Arabidopsis thaliana: one gene and its partner. The protein of the gene in region 1 interacts with the protein of each later gene in a pairwise test. Each region holds a gene or a part of one and is shown in the gene's direction. Other genes may lie near its edges.

What was found.
Region 2: the proteins of ULT2 (region 1) and AT5G58620 interact in a two-hybrid assay, tested with the Arabidopsis thaliana proteins (one large-scale study listed by BioGRID).

The regions. Positions count from the first base shown.
Region 1 is NC_003071.7:8,964,859-8,969,372, reverse strand, and holds ULT2 (Developmental regulator, ULTRAPETALA), read left to right. Parts: upstream 1-2,129; 5' UTR 2,130-2,577; coding exon 2,578-2,779; intron 2,780-3,043; coding exon 3,044-3,528; 3' UTR 3,529-3,817; downstream 3,818-4,514. Other genes in the region: AT2G20830 (folic acid binding / transferase), read left to right, coding at 492-1,003; AT2G20820 (uncharacterized protein), read right to left, coding at 4,136-4,230, 4,318-4,351, 4,494-4,514. UniProt on the Arabidopsis thaliana protein: Putative transcription factor that acts as a key negative regulator of cell accumulation in shoot and floral meristems. Negatively regulates the size of the WUSCHEL (WUS)-expressing organizing center in inflorescence meristems.
Region 2 is NC_003076.8:23,691,417-23,696,918, forward strand, and holds AT5G58620 (zinc finger (CCCH-type) family protein), read left to right. Parts: upstream 1-1,842; 5' UTR 1,843-2,116; intron 2,117-2,500; 5' UTR 2,501-2,542; coding exon 2,543-4,366; 3' UTR 4,367-4,724; downstream 4,725-5,502. Other genes in the region: TRM31 (uncharacterized protein), read right to left, coding at 4,725-5,035, 5,112-5,502.

The DNA.
Region 1 (4,514 bases):
TGAATTTTAAAAGATACTTATCAAGCTAAGAGCAGAACATTGTTGCTATGCTGCTGTTGATGTGTACTTTGTGATAAGCCATTGAACATGGAAGTCTATGAGCAATGCTCTGCTCTTATAAAAATGACTAGCCATAGAACATGAAGTTTGTAGCAATGCTCTGCTCTCTGCTGTTATCAAGATAAGAACAGAGCATTGTTTGTCTGCTGTACTTTGTGATAGGCAGAGTGATGTTCTGTTTTTACTATCTCATTATCTCTAGGCCATAGAATATGGAAGTCTTTGTAGCAATGATCTGCTCTCTGCTCTTATCAAGATAAGAACAGAGTATTGCTTGTATGGTGTAGTTGTTGTGTACGTTGTAATAGGCAAAGTGATGCCCTGTGTTTAAAATCTCATCTTCGTCTAGGCCATAGAACTTGGAAGTCTTTGTAGCAATCTCTATATTGATATGTGGACTGGACTGAGATATATGACCCACCTTGGTGCAGTTCCTACATATCTCTATGGAGCAGCAGAAAAGGAGCAGTGCACCCTGGATTCGATCAGAAGAAAGCTGGGGTACTTCAAGGCAAACAGGGAGGGACATGAATGGGCAGGTGGGTTTGACCTGGAGATGGTGCCACTGAAGCCAGACGCAGGGCCACAAGAGGTGAGCAAAGCCAAAGGGGTTGTAGCGGTTGGGGCGTGTGGGTGGGTAAGTAACTATAACGTGCCTGTCATGTCAAACGATCTCAAGGCAGTGAGGAGAATAGCGAGGAAGACGAGCGAGAGAGGAGGGGGCTTGGCTTCAGTGCAGACAATGGCGCTGGTGCACGGGGAAGGAGTCATAGAGGTTGCCTGTAACTTGTTGAATCCAAGCCAAGTGGGGGGAGATGAAGTACAGGGACTGATCGAGAGGCTTGGCAGAGAGGAAGGTCTGCTTGTGGGAAAAGGGTATTATACGGACTATACACCTGACCAGATCGTTGAAAGATATATGGACTTGCTCAACAATTCATAAATTTCAAAGTAAAAAAAGTAAAAACAGTATGATGTTGTCATTCTTAGAACGTATTATTACCGACATCGATCATTTATCTTCATTTTGTGTTTAGATGTGATATACATTGCCATGAGTGACAATTGAAATTAGCAAAGATTAAATAAAAAGTGAAATGATAAAATGATGGTACGTTCATTGAGAGGCCAAAACATCAGATCTCATCATTGGTGTTTTTCCTCAACAACTGTGAGAGATTTGTTTTGTGTAGCCTCGTCTTTTGCCGTGGTTCTTAAAGCTGTTGTTTTCTTAGCATTTTGCCTTGTTTTGCATATATCTATATGGCAATGCATGCAAGTCATTAACTAATGTATAGTGAACTATTGGTAGCATCGTGACCATGTGGTAATTAACAATCTTTGTCCTTCAAATTTATATATATGGAGGTTGTGGTCTATATGATTTGTTAAAGTGAAAAGACAACTGGTTTTCTATTAATTTGGTCGTAGGTGAAATTCGAGGGTCAAAAGTCTCTAAAAACAACGTGGATGAGGTGGAGTTTGGTGCGGCTCGTTATTGACTTGAGTTCTTCTTGGTCATTTTTTTGGGTTTGCAACAAGGGGAAGGAGGTTAAAAGAACATTTATCTTTTTCTGTTTTATCACTAATTATTGTGTTGTTTTATTTGATATAATCAATCAATAGGTTAAAAGAACAAGAATAAATTAAAAAATTCGTCAAAAACATCAAAACGAGAACTAATTTGAAACACAATTTAACTTCTAAACGACAACTAATTTGAAACGGAAGGAGTATACGTTACATTTAGACAAAAAAAATGTAATTTATGACATGCCTACACACATTGACGTAGACAATTAAAGGTTAGGTGTGTCCTTGTATATGTGTATACATGTACATACATATGTATGGGCACATTGGAGTTGGGCCGCAATGGAGAATAAGGACCAGATGCGACTATCATACACCTAACTCTTAAGAAAAAAAGCATTATTTGTGTACATAAATGGTAGACCCATGAAACCTGTAGAGCTCAAAAGTCACAAGTAAAAGAGAGAAAAGAAAGAAGAGAAGAGGTAATTACATGTGGGTTTAGAGAACAACTTTACTTAATCTCTTCTCTTTTATCATCAACCAACCATATATGGACAATTACAAGAACACATCTATGTATGAACGTTAACGTAGATAATATTATAAAATATTATTCTAAAAATTAAAAGATTCACAATTCCCATGCCTCACGACTTGTATTTTTCTTTGGCCACCTAATTTGCATCCATCATCTCTCTGTCTCTATAGAGAGTTTCTTTCAAATCCCCTAAAACCTAGAAAAACACCAAAGTCTCTCTCTCTTTTTGTTTTACTCCAAAAGCCTTTTACCTTTGAGATTTTTCTATATAATTGTCAGATCCTTCGTTACTACTGATGCTAGCTCCTTTAGGGCTTTTTCTCGTTTACTCATGTCAAATTACCTTCTTGTCCCTTGGTGTTTAGGGCTCTGATCCTATATAATAATACTTCATAGGAAGGAGAAGGAGCCCTTCGTCGTGGTTTACTTGGTCCCGATCGGAGATGGAGAGAGAATGTGGGTCGAAGGAGTTGTTCAGCAAAGAGGAGCTACAAGAAATAAGTGGAGTCCATGTGGGAGACGATTACGTCGAGGTCATGTGTGGCTGCACCAGCCACCGTTACGGAGACGCCGTTGCGAGGCTTAAGATATTTTCAGATGGAGAACTTCAAATCACCTGCCAATGCACTCCTGCTTGTCTCGAAGGTTCCTCTTCTTCTCTCTCACATCTTTCTATATGCATGTTCCATGTGAATGTGTATGGATTCATGATAGTGTCAAGAATGCAATGTAACTGTTCTTTGGCCTCGGTGAACTATGAGGCTGCTTGTATTTGCTAGATGTGATATGTTTCATGCAGTCTTTTAGAGTGTGGGATAACCTTACATTGTAATGTATCTCCATTTTATATCACAAGTTCGAGTTTCTTTCAAAGTGATCTGATTGACAGCTTTCATTCTATGATGGTAGACAAGTTGACGCCTGCTGCCTTCGAGAAGCATTCTGAGAGAGAAACCTCTAGAAACTGGAGGAACAATGTTTGGGTGTTCATTGAAGGAGACAAGGTTCCGCTTTCAAAGACAGTGTTGCTCAGATACTACAACAAAGCATTGAAGAACTCTAACGTATCGAAAGTCATTCATCGGGATGAGTTTGTTGGGTGCAGCACATGCGGGAAGGAGAGGAGGTTCAGATTGAGGAGCAGAGGGGAATGCCGGATGCACCATGATGCAATTGCTGAGCCTAATTGGAAGTGTTGCGATTACCCATACGACAAGATAACATGCGAGGAGGAGGAAGAAAGAGGGAGCAGGAAAGTGTTCAGAGGTTGCACTCGCTCACCGTCCTGCAAAGGCTGCACTTCTTGCGTCTGCTTCGGCTGCAAGCTCTGCCGTTTCTCTGATTGTAACTGCCAGACTTGCCTCGATTTCACCACCAATGCCAAACCCATTTGACTTCATTTCTCTAACTTATTTAATTCTTCTGCAAAAACTTGTAATGTATGCTCTGCATTTTCTTTAATCAGTAGCTTGTTACACCTGTTATGCGAGTGGAGAGACCAAGTAGGGATCACATACTGGAAAAAAAACCGACTTGGGGCTTGGAAAACTAACTTAGCACCACTACGAGGACATGAATCTAATCTAAATTCAACCATATAACCTCGGCAAATACACACAAGGCAGGAGATCGATAACAAGAAGCAAGCAGTGACTGTAATAGTATGCTGAATAAACTATGTCAAGAATAAAAGCATGAGACAAGAGCAGCTACAAACATTTGGATTAGCCAATATGTACTTGGAAGGTGGACGACATACATGGAGAAATACCTCCAACAAAAATTGGTATCCAAACCAGACAAATAGAATGGAAGGAAATAGCTCGAAAGCATATATCAACATACGTAGTGAGACAATGATTTGCTTAAATCCTGTCTGTTTCAAACATAGGATATTATGAAACACAAAACTGTCAAGAATTTATCCATTGCAGACATCATCAGATCTCAAAAGTGATGCAAATTATTTTCAAAATGAAACACAAGACCAGTCACAATCTGCTAAAAGGGAAAACAAAGTGCATGAGAATGAGAGGTCTCTCCATAAAAGGTCTTCCTGGTGACAATGAAACTCATTGTGTACTCTCCACAGGCGTCTGCAAAAAAAACTATGTATAAGGGAAGGAACCCGAAGCCTCTAGGCAATGGAAGAAGAGCAAGAGCTGAAGAGCAAGAGTAAGTACCTCTTTTTTTCCCCCAGTGGCGAGCTTGTATCCACTGTAGAAAAGTAAGCCCCAGCCAGACAGAGAAATAAGCACAAACTGCAGATTGGTCAGGTAACAGAAGGAATCAATTCAACAAAAAATCACAGCTTTCATTAACAAAAACACAGTGTCACAAACACATGATTGATACATACATGCTCCTCTTTCCAGTTTCC
Region 2 (5,502 bases), on another chromosome or scaffold:
ATTGATGTTGTTTTTTGGTTGATACACGCGAAAAGAGTGGAGATTTTTAATTTTGGTCAATTTGCACTATTTCCTAATTAAAAATCCAAAATTTACCCATTTCACCCTCTTATTTCTTTATTTCTTCTACTTTCGTACTATTAAAGCTTGCTCATCACTCTTTGACTTTGACTCTGTTTTTCACTCTTCTCAGATATAGCTCATGAATACGACATTCTTTCTTCGGATTCACCATATGACTTTTACTTGTGAAGATAGTAAGATACTATCTCATTAGTTACCAGTTCTTTTTATTTACGTCCATGAAGAAGAAATTGGCTTCCTTCTTTTAAATCAAGAAGATAGACTAATGGGCCAAACCTAGGTCTTTAATTATGGGCTTTGAAACAGATCATTATCCTCGTATAGCCCCGCATCGGTATTTCTGGCCCAGAAGTGCTTGGCGCCAAGTCGAAGAGAGATAATTCACTGCATTTAGGACCATAAAAGTCAATATGGTCTGTCCAATAAGGCTCTGCCATTTGGGGTTTTGTCGCAGCGACGTCGGCTGATAAAATAGCAAATAGCAATGCTTAGTCGCTTTCAGTTGGTCCCACATGCTTCTTATTCCATTCATTCTAGTCAGATTATGGATTCTTGTGGGTCCTTTTCCTAATTGTACACTTAGACTTTTCTACCTTTTTTCCCTTTTTATTTCGCTTTATATCAAAATTAACCTAACAATATATCTCATCGTGAATACAAGATCTTGACCGTCTGTTTTCAGCATTTTTCATACCATTGTCTTTTGAGTGACTGACTTATAACAAATTTTTAAATATTGATTTGACATTGGGAATCAACAGTGTTTATGTTAAGAAACAGGATATAATTATCTAAAAATTAATAATTTGTCGTGTATATATACAGTATTTGCACTATCATATTAATATTATGACTTTACTTATTTATTAGAACTGTAAATTAGAAGAAGAGAAAATAAATGGCTTTGTGTTATGATGTGAGAGAGAGCCAGTGGAGCAGCTTCGTTAATGCCGCTGCAAAAAGCATTGATGGGTTCGGTTGCATGCATTTGGATTTGGTCTGGTTGCAATACAAAACAGTAGTCGTTTTCAAAAAAATATTATTATACATTTGCAATTTATGACTACTTTTATATAGTAGTACAACATTGTCATGGATCACGAATCACTATCTTTTAATATAATAATACAAGCATAGCGACAGAAAATACAAAGTTTGGTAAGGTTTGTTCGAATTCTTTCCATTACCGAATTTAAATACACATTATTTTAGTCTCTTAGGATATTTGTATTACCTAATCGTCTTTTTGTTGGAATTGTCGACCGAAAAAAACTGAACATAAACGTCAATTTCTCGACTTTATAATAATTATCTCAATTATCTTTAAACTTTATGATAATTAATTTTGATGAATATAACTCAAATCAAAGCTATGACAAAAGAGAGTTGCTATCAAGCGAAACCCACTCGAGACGGTTCCGATTCTGTGTTTTGGTGCATGTTGAGATTATTCTGGGGCGGTGACAAACCAATTAAAAAGCTATGGTTAATTGGTTATATAACTCTAGGTAACAGGCAGTGGTTTTATCTTTAGCTCGTGAATGGAGAAGAAAAGTAAGTAGCTCATTTTAAAAACATGCTGACGATGCATGGTTTCCACGTCATCCCACCAAAAACCGGAAAAACGCGTGAAGCGTGACAAAACCGATGAGCGAAGATCCTCTGTGTGAAGTCTAACGTACACCTTCATTTCCTTCAGACTTTACAAATTAAAATTGAAAGTAAAATAAATAAATAGAAATAAAAAAGACGAGAGAGAAGTAGAAGAAGAATGATGGAGATGGTGGTTTTGTTTTATTATTTAGAGTAAGCTTCTTCATTTTTTTAAAAACTTCTATTATTTTGACCTTAAGAAGAAAGTGACAAGGAGAGGAAGAAGAAGAAAAAAAACATAATTTGAGGAAGAAGAAAAAAAATTCGGATTTGTTTTTTCAATAAATTGACTAATTGAGTACTCGTTTAAAGGAAGTGAAGAGCGGTTTTTTGGTAGTGGTGGTCGAGAAAAGAGAGAGTTTGTCTCTGTGACTCAGAGGTAGAAAATCTTTACTCTTTGTTTCTTTGATTTGATTAGTCACTAATTTAGTTTCAGTTGAATCCATATATGTCGATTTGTTTTAGAGTTTGCAGTTTGTTTTTAATTGTTTTGCTGATTGGAAAATGAGTTAACAATATGATTAGTTTTCGATGTTGCAAAAGTGGTTAATTATGGATCTGTTGGTGTTTATTTTTGGTTTGGTTTGTTTTAAAGTTGGAAACTTTGTATCCCAAACTAACAAACTCTTCCTTCTCTCCTTAGCTTAATCGTTTCTGCAGTTTTTATTTCTGTTTTGTATGATTTTGTTCTATGTATATTACCATTTTAATCAGAAGAAAAAAGATTCATCCTTTTCAATTTGTTCTGCAATTTTTTTTGCAGTGAAATCAATAGAGCGGGAAAAGATTGTTGCTTTTTTTTGCCATGGGAGTTGATGAGCTGTCTCACCTCAAATTCTCTCTTCTGCTAGAATCATCAGCCTGCAATGATTTGTCCGGTTTTAAGTCTCTAGTTGAAGAAGAAGGTCTTGAGAGCATTGATGGCTCTGGTTTGTGGTATGGGAGGAGATTAGGATCAAAGAAGATGGGTTTTGAGGAGAGGACGCCTCTTATGATTGCTGCCTTGTTTGGAAGCAAAGAGGTTGTTGATTACATCATTAGTACTGGTCTTGTTGACGTGAACCGCTCTTGTGGCTCTGATGGTGCCACGGCTCTTCACTGTGCGGTCTCTGGCTTGTCTGCCAATAGCCTTGAGATTGTTACTCTTCTGCTGAAGGGCTCTGCGAATCCGGATTCTTGTGATGCTTATGGTAACAAGCCTGGAGATGTGATTTTCCCTTGTTTGAGTCCGGTTTTTAGCGCGAGGATGAAGGTTTTGGAGCGTTTGTTGAAAGGAAATGATGATTTGAATGAAGTTAATGGGCAAGAAGAAAGCGAGCCAGAGGTTGAGGTTGAGGTTGAGGTTTCGCCTCCTCGGGGGTCTGAGAGGAAGGAGTATCCGGTTGATCCAACGCTTCCTGATATCAAGAACGGTGTATATGGGACGGATGAGTTCCGGATGTATGCTTTCAAGATCAAGCCGTGCTCTAGAGCATACTCTCACGACTGGACGGAATGTCCCTTTGTTCATCCGGGTGAGAACGCAAGGAGGCGTGATCCGAGGAAGTACCATTATAGTTGTGTCCCTTGTCCTGAATTCCGGAAGGGGTCTTGTTCCAGAGGTGATACTTGCGAGTATGCTCATGGTATCTTTGAGTGCTGGCTTCACCCGGCTCAGTACCGGACTCGTCTCTGCAAGGACGAGACGAATTGCTCGAGAAGAGTTTGTTTCTTTGCCCACAAACCCGAGGAGCTGCGTCCTTTGTACCCTTCAACTGGATCAGGTGTTCCGTCCCCGCGGTCTTCCTTCTCATCTTGCAATTCCTCGACCGCTTTCGACATGGGACCGATTAGTCCGCTTCCTATCGGAGCAACAACCACACCTCCTTTGAGTCCTAACGGTGTATCCTCTCCAATAGGTGGAGGAAAAACGTGGATGAACTGGCCTAACATAACCCCTCCTGCATTGCAGCTTCCAGGGAGCAGATTGAAATCTGCATTGAATGCAAGAGAAATCGATTTCTCTGAAGAGATGCAAAGTCTTACTTCTCCAACTACATGGAACAACACGCCAATGTCATCTCCATTCTCCGGAAAGGGCATGAACAGGCTTGCAGGAGGAGCAATGAGCCCGGTGAATAGTCTCAGTGATATGTTTGGGACAGAGGATAATACATCGGGTTTGCAGATCCGACGCAGCGTCATTAACCCGCAGCTGCATTCCAACAGTCTTTCTTCATCACCTGTGGGAGCCAATTCTCTGTTTTCGATGGATTCCTCCGCAGTCTTGGCTTCAAGAGCGGCTGAATTTGCTAAACAGCGAAGCCAAAGCTTCATAGAACGCAACAACGGACTGAATCACCATCCCGCAATCTCTTCCATGACTACAACTTGTTTAAACGATTGGGGCTCATTGGATGGGAAGCTTGACTGGAGCGTCCAAGGAGACGAGCTACAGAAGCTCAGAAAATCCACTTCTTTCCGTCTCAGAGCCGGTGGCATGGAATCAAGACTGCCTAACGAAGGGACTGGGCTCGAAGAGCCAGATGTCTCATGGGTGGAGCCGCTGGTGAAAGAGCCACAGGAGACAAGACTAGCTCCGGTTTGGATGGAGCAATCATACATGGAGACAGAACAGACCGTGGCTTGAATCAAAAGTTTTGAACTTTCATTAACCGTTCCACAAGAAGCAAAGTCAGAAAGATTCCGAGAGGTCGATGCTAATCTATTTCATTTTATTTGTTTAATGCTTTGTTATTTTTCTTTAGAATAAAAAGAAAAAATTCTTAGGGGACAAAAGAGAGTTCGTTTGTCTCTCTCTCTGTCTCCAAAGAAAAACAGAGGTGAAAAAAGGTTTCAAAACCTAAGAAACCTTGAATTACCTCACCTCACTTCCTTGATTCTTTACTATTCACAATGAGTAATCGATTTTTTTTTTTCTTGGTAACACTCTCACGCTGAATATATATGTTTTTTAGTAATAATATAATTGGAATACAGAAATGTATTTACACTTGTGAAGTTAGGGAAAGTGTTGTAATTGTTTCTTCTAAGAGTTGATCTAAGATGTTTGAGACTATATCTTCGCTTATGATTCCTTCTATATCTTCGAGCTTTAAAGCTTTTCCGTTAAACCAATCTGAACCTTCAAGGTCAGATACAGTGAGTTTGCAGATCATGAGCCACATCTCTTGGTAGCCATGAAGTCGGATTTCTTGGTCTTTTGATCTACTTGTCAATGTGATGTGATCTTGTTCAATCGTTTCATTGAGCTTACTAGATTCAAGTTCTGAAGACAACCGTCTTCTTGAAATGTTTCCTGTTACAAGGAAACAAGTATGCTTTAATAACACAAGAAAGGACATTTCAATTTTCAATACTGAAGAATTACCAACCTGGTGATGGAGTTACTCGAACACCAGCATACCGGTCATAATCAAGAACCGAGACAGGGCTCGAATCATCGCAGCTTCCACACTCTTCTTCTTCTTTTGTTGATCTCACTTCACAATTTACTAAATCTTCTTCTTTGGACCAACAACCATTACTTTGGACCCAATTCTCCTTCTCGATGTTCTGTCTCAACTTAGTTTCTTTTCGTTTTCTTCTGCTCTTACGTTTCTCCTTTCTACGCTGCATCAGTTCTCCAATCTCAAGCCTCTCACGTCCTGGTGAAACGTTCATGGCATTGATGTTGTTCTCTTTACCCTCTAGGTGTGTTTGATCCTCTGTTTTGCTCTGGTTCTCTCTAGTATCTCTCCTCTTCTTACAATTTCTAGTTCCCAG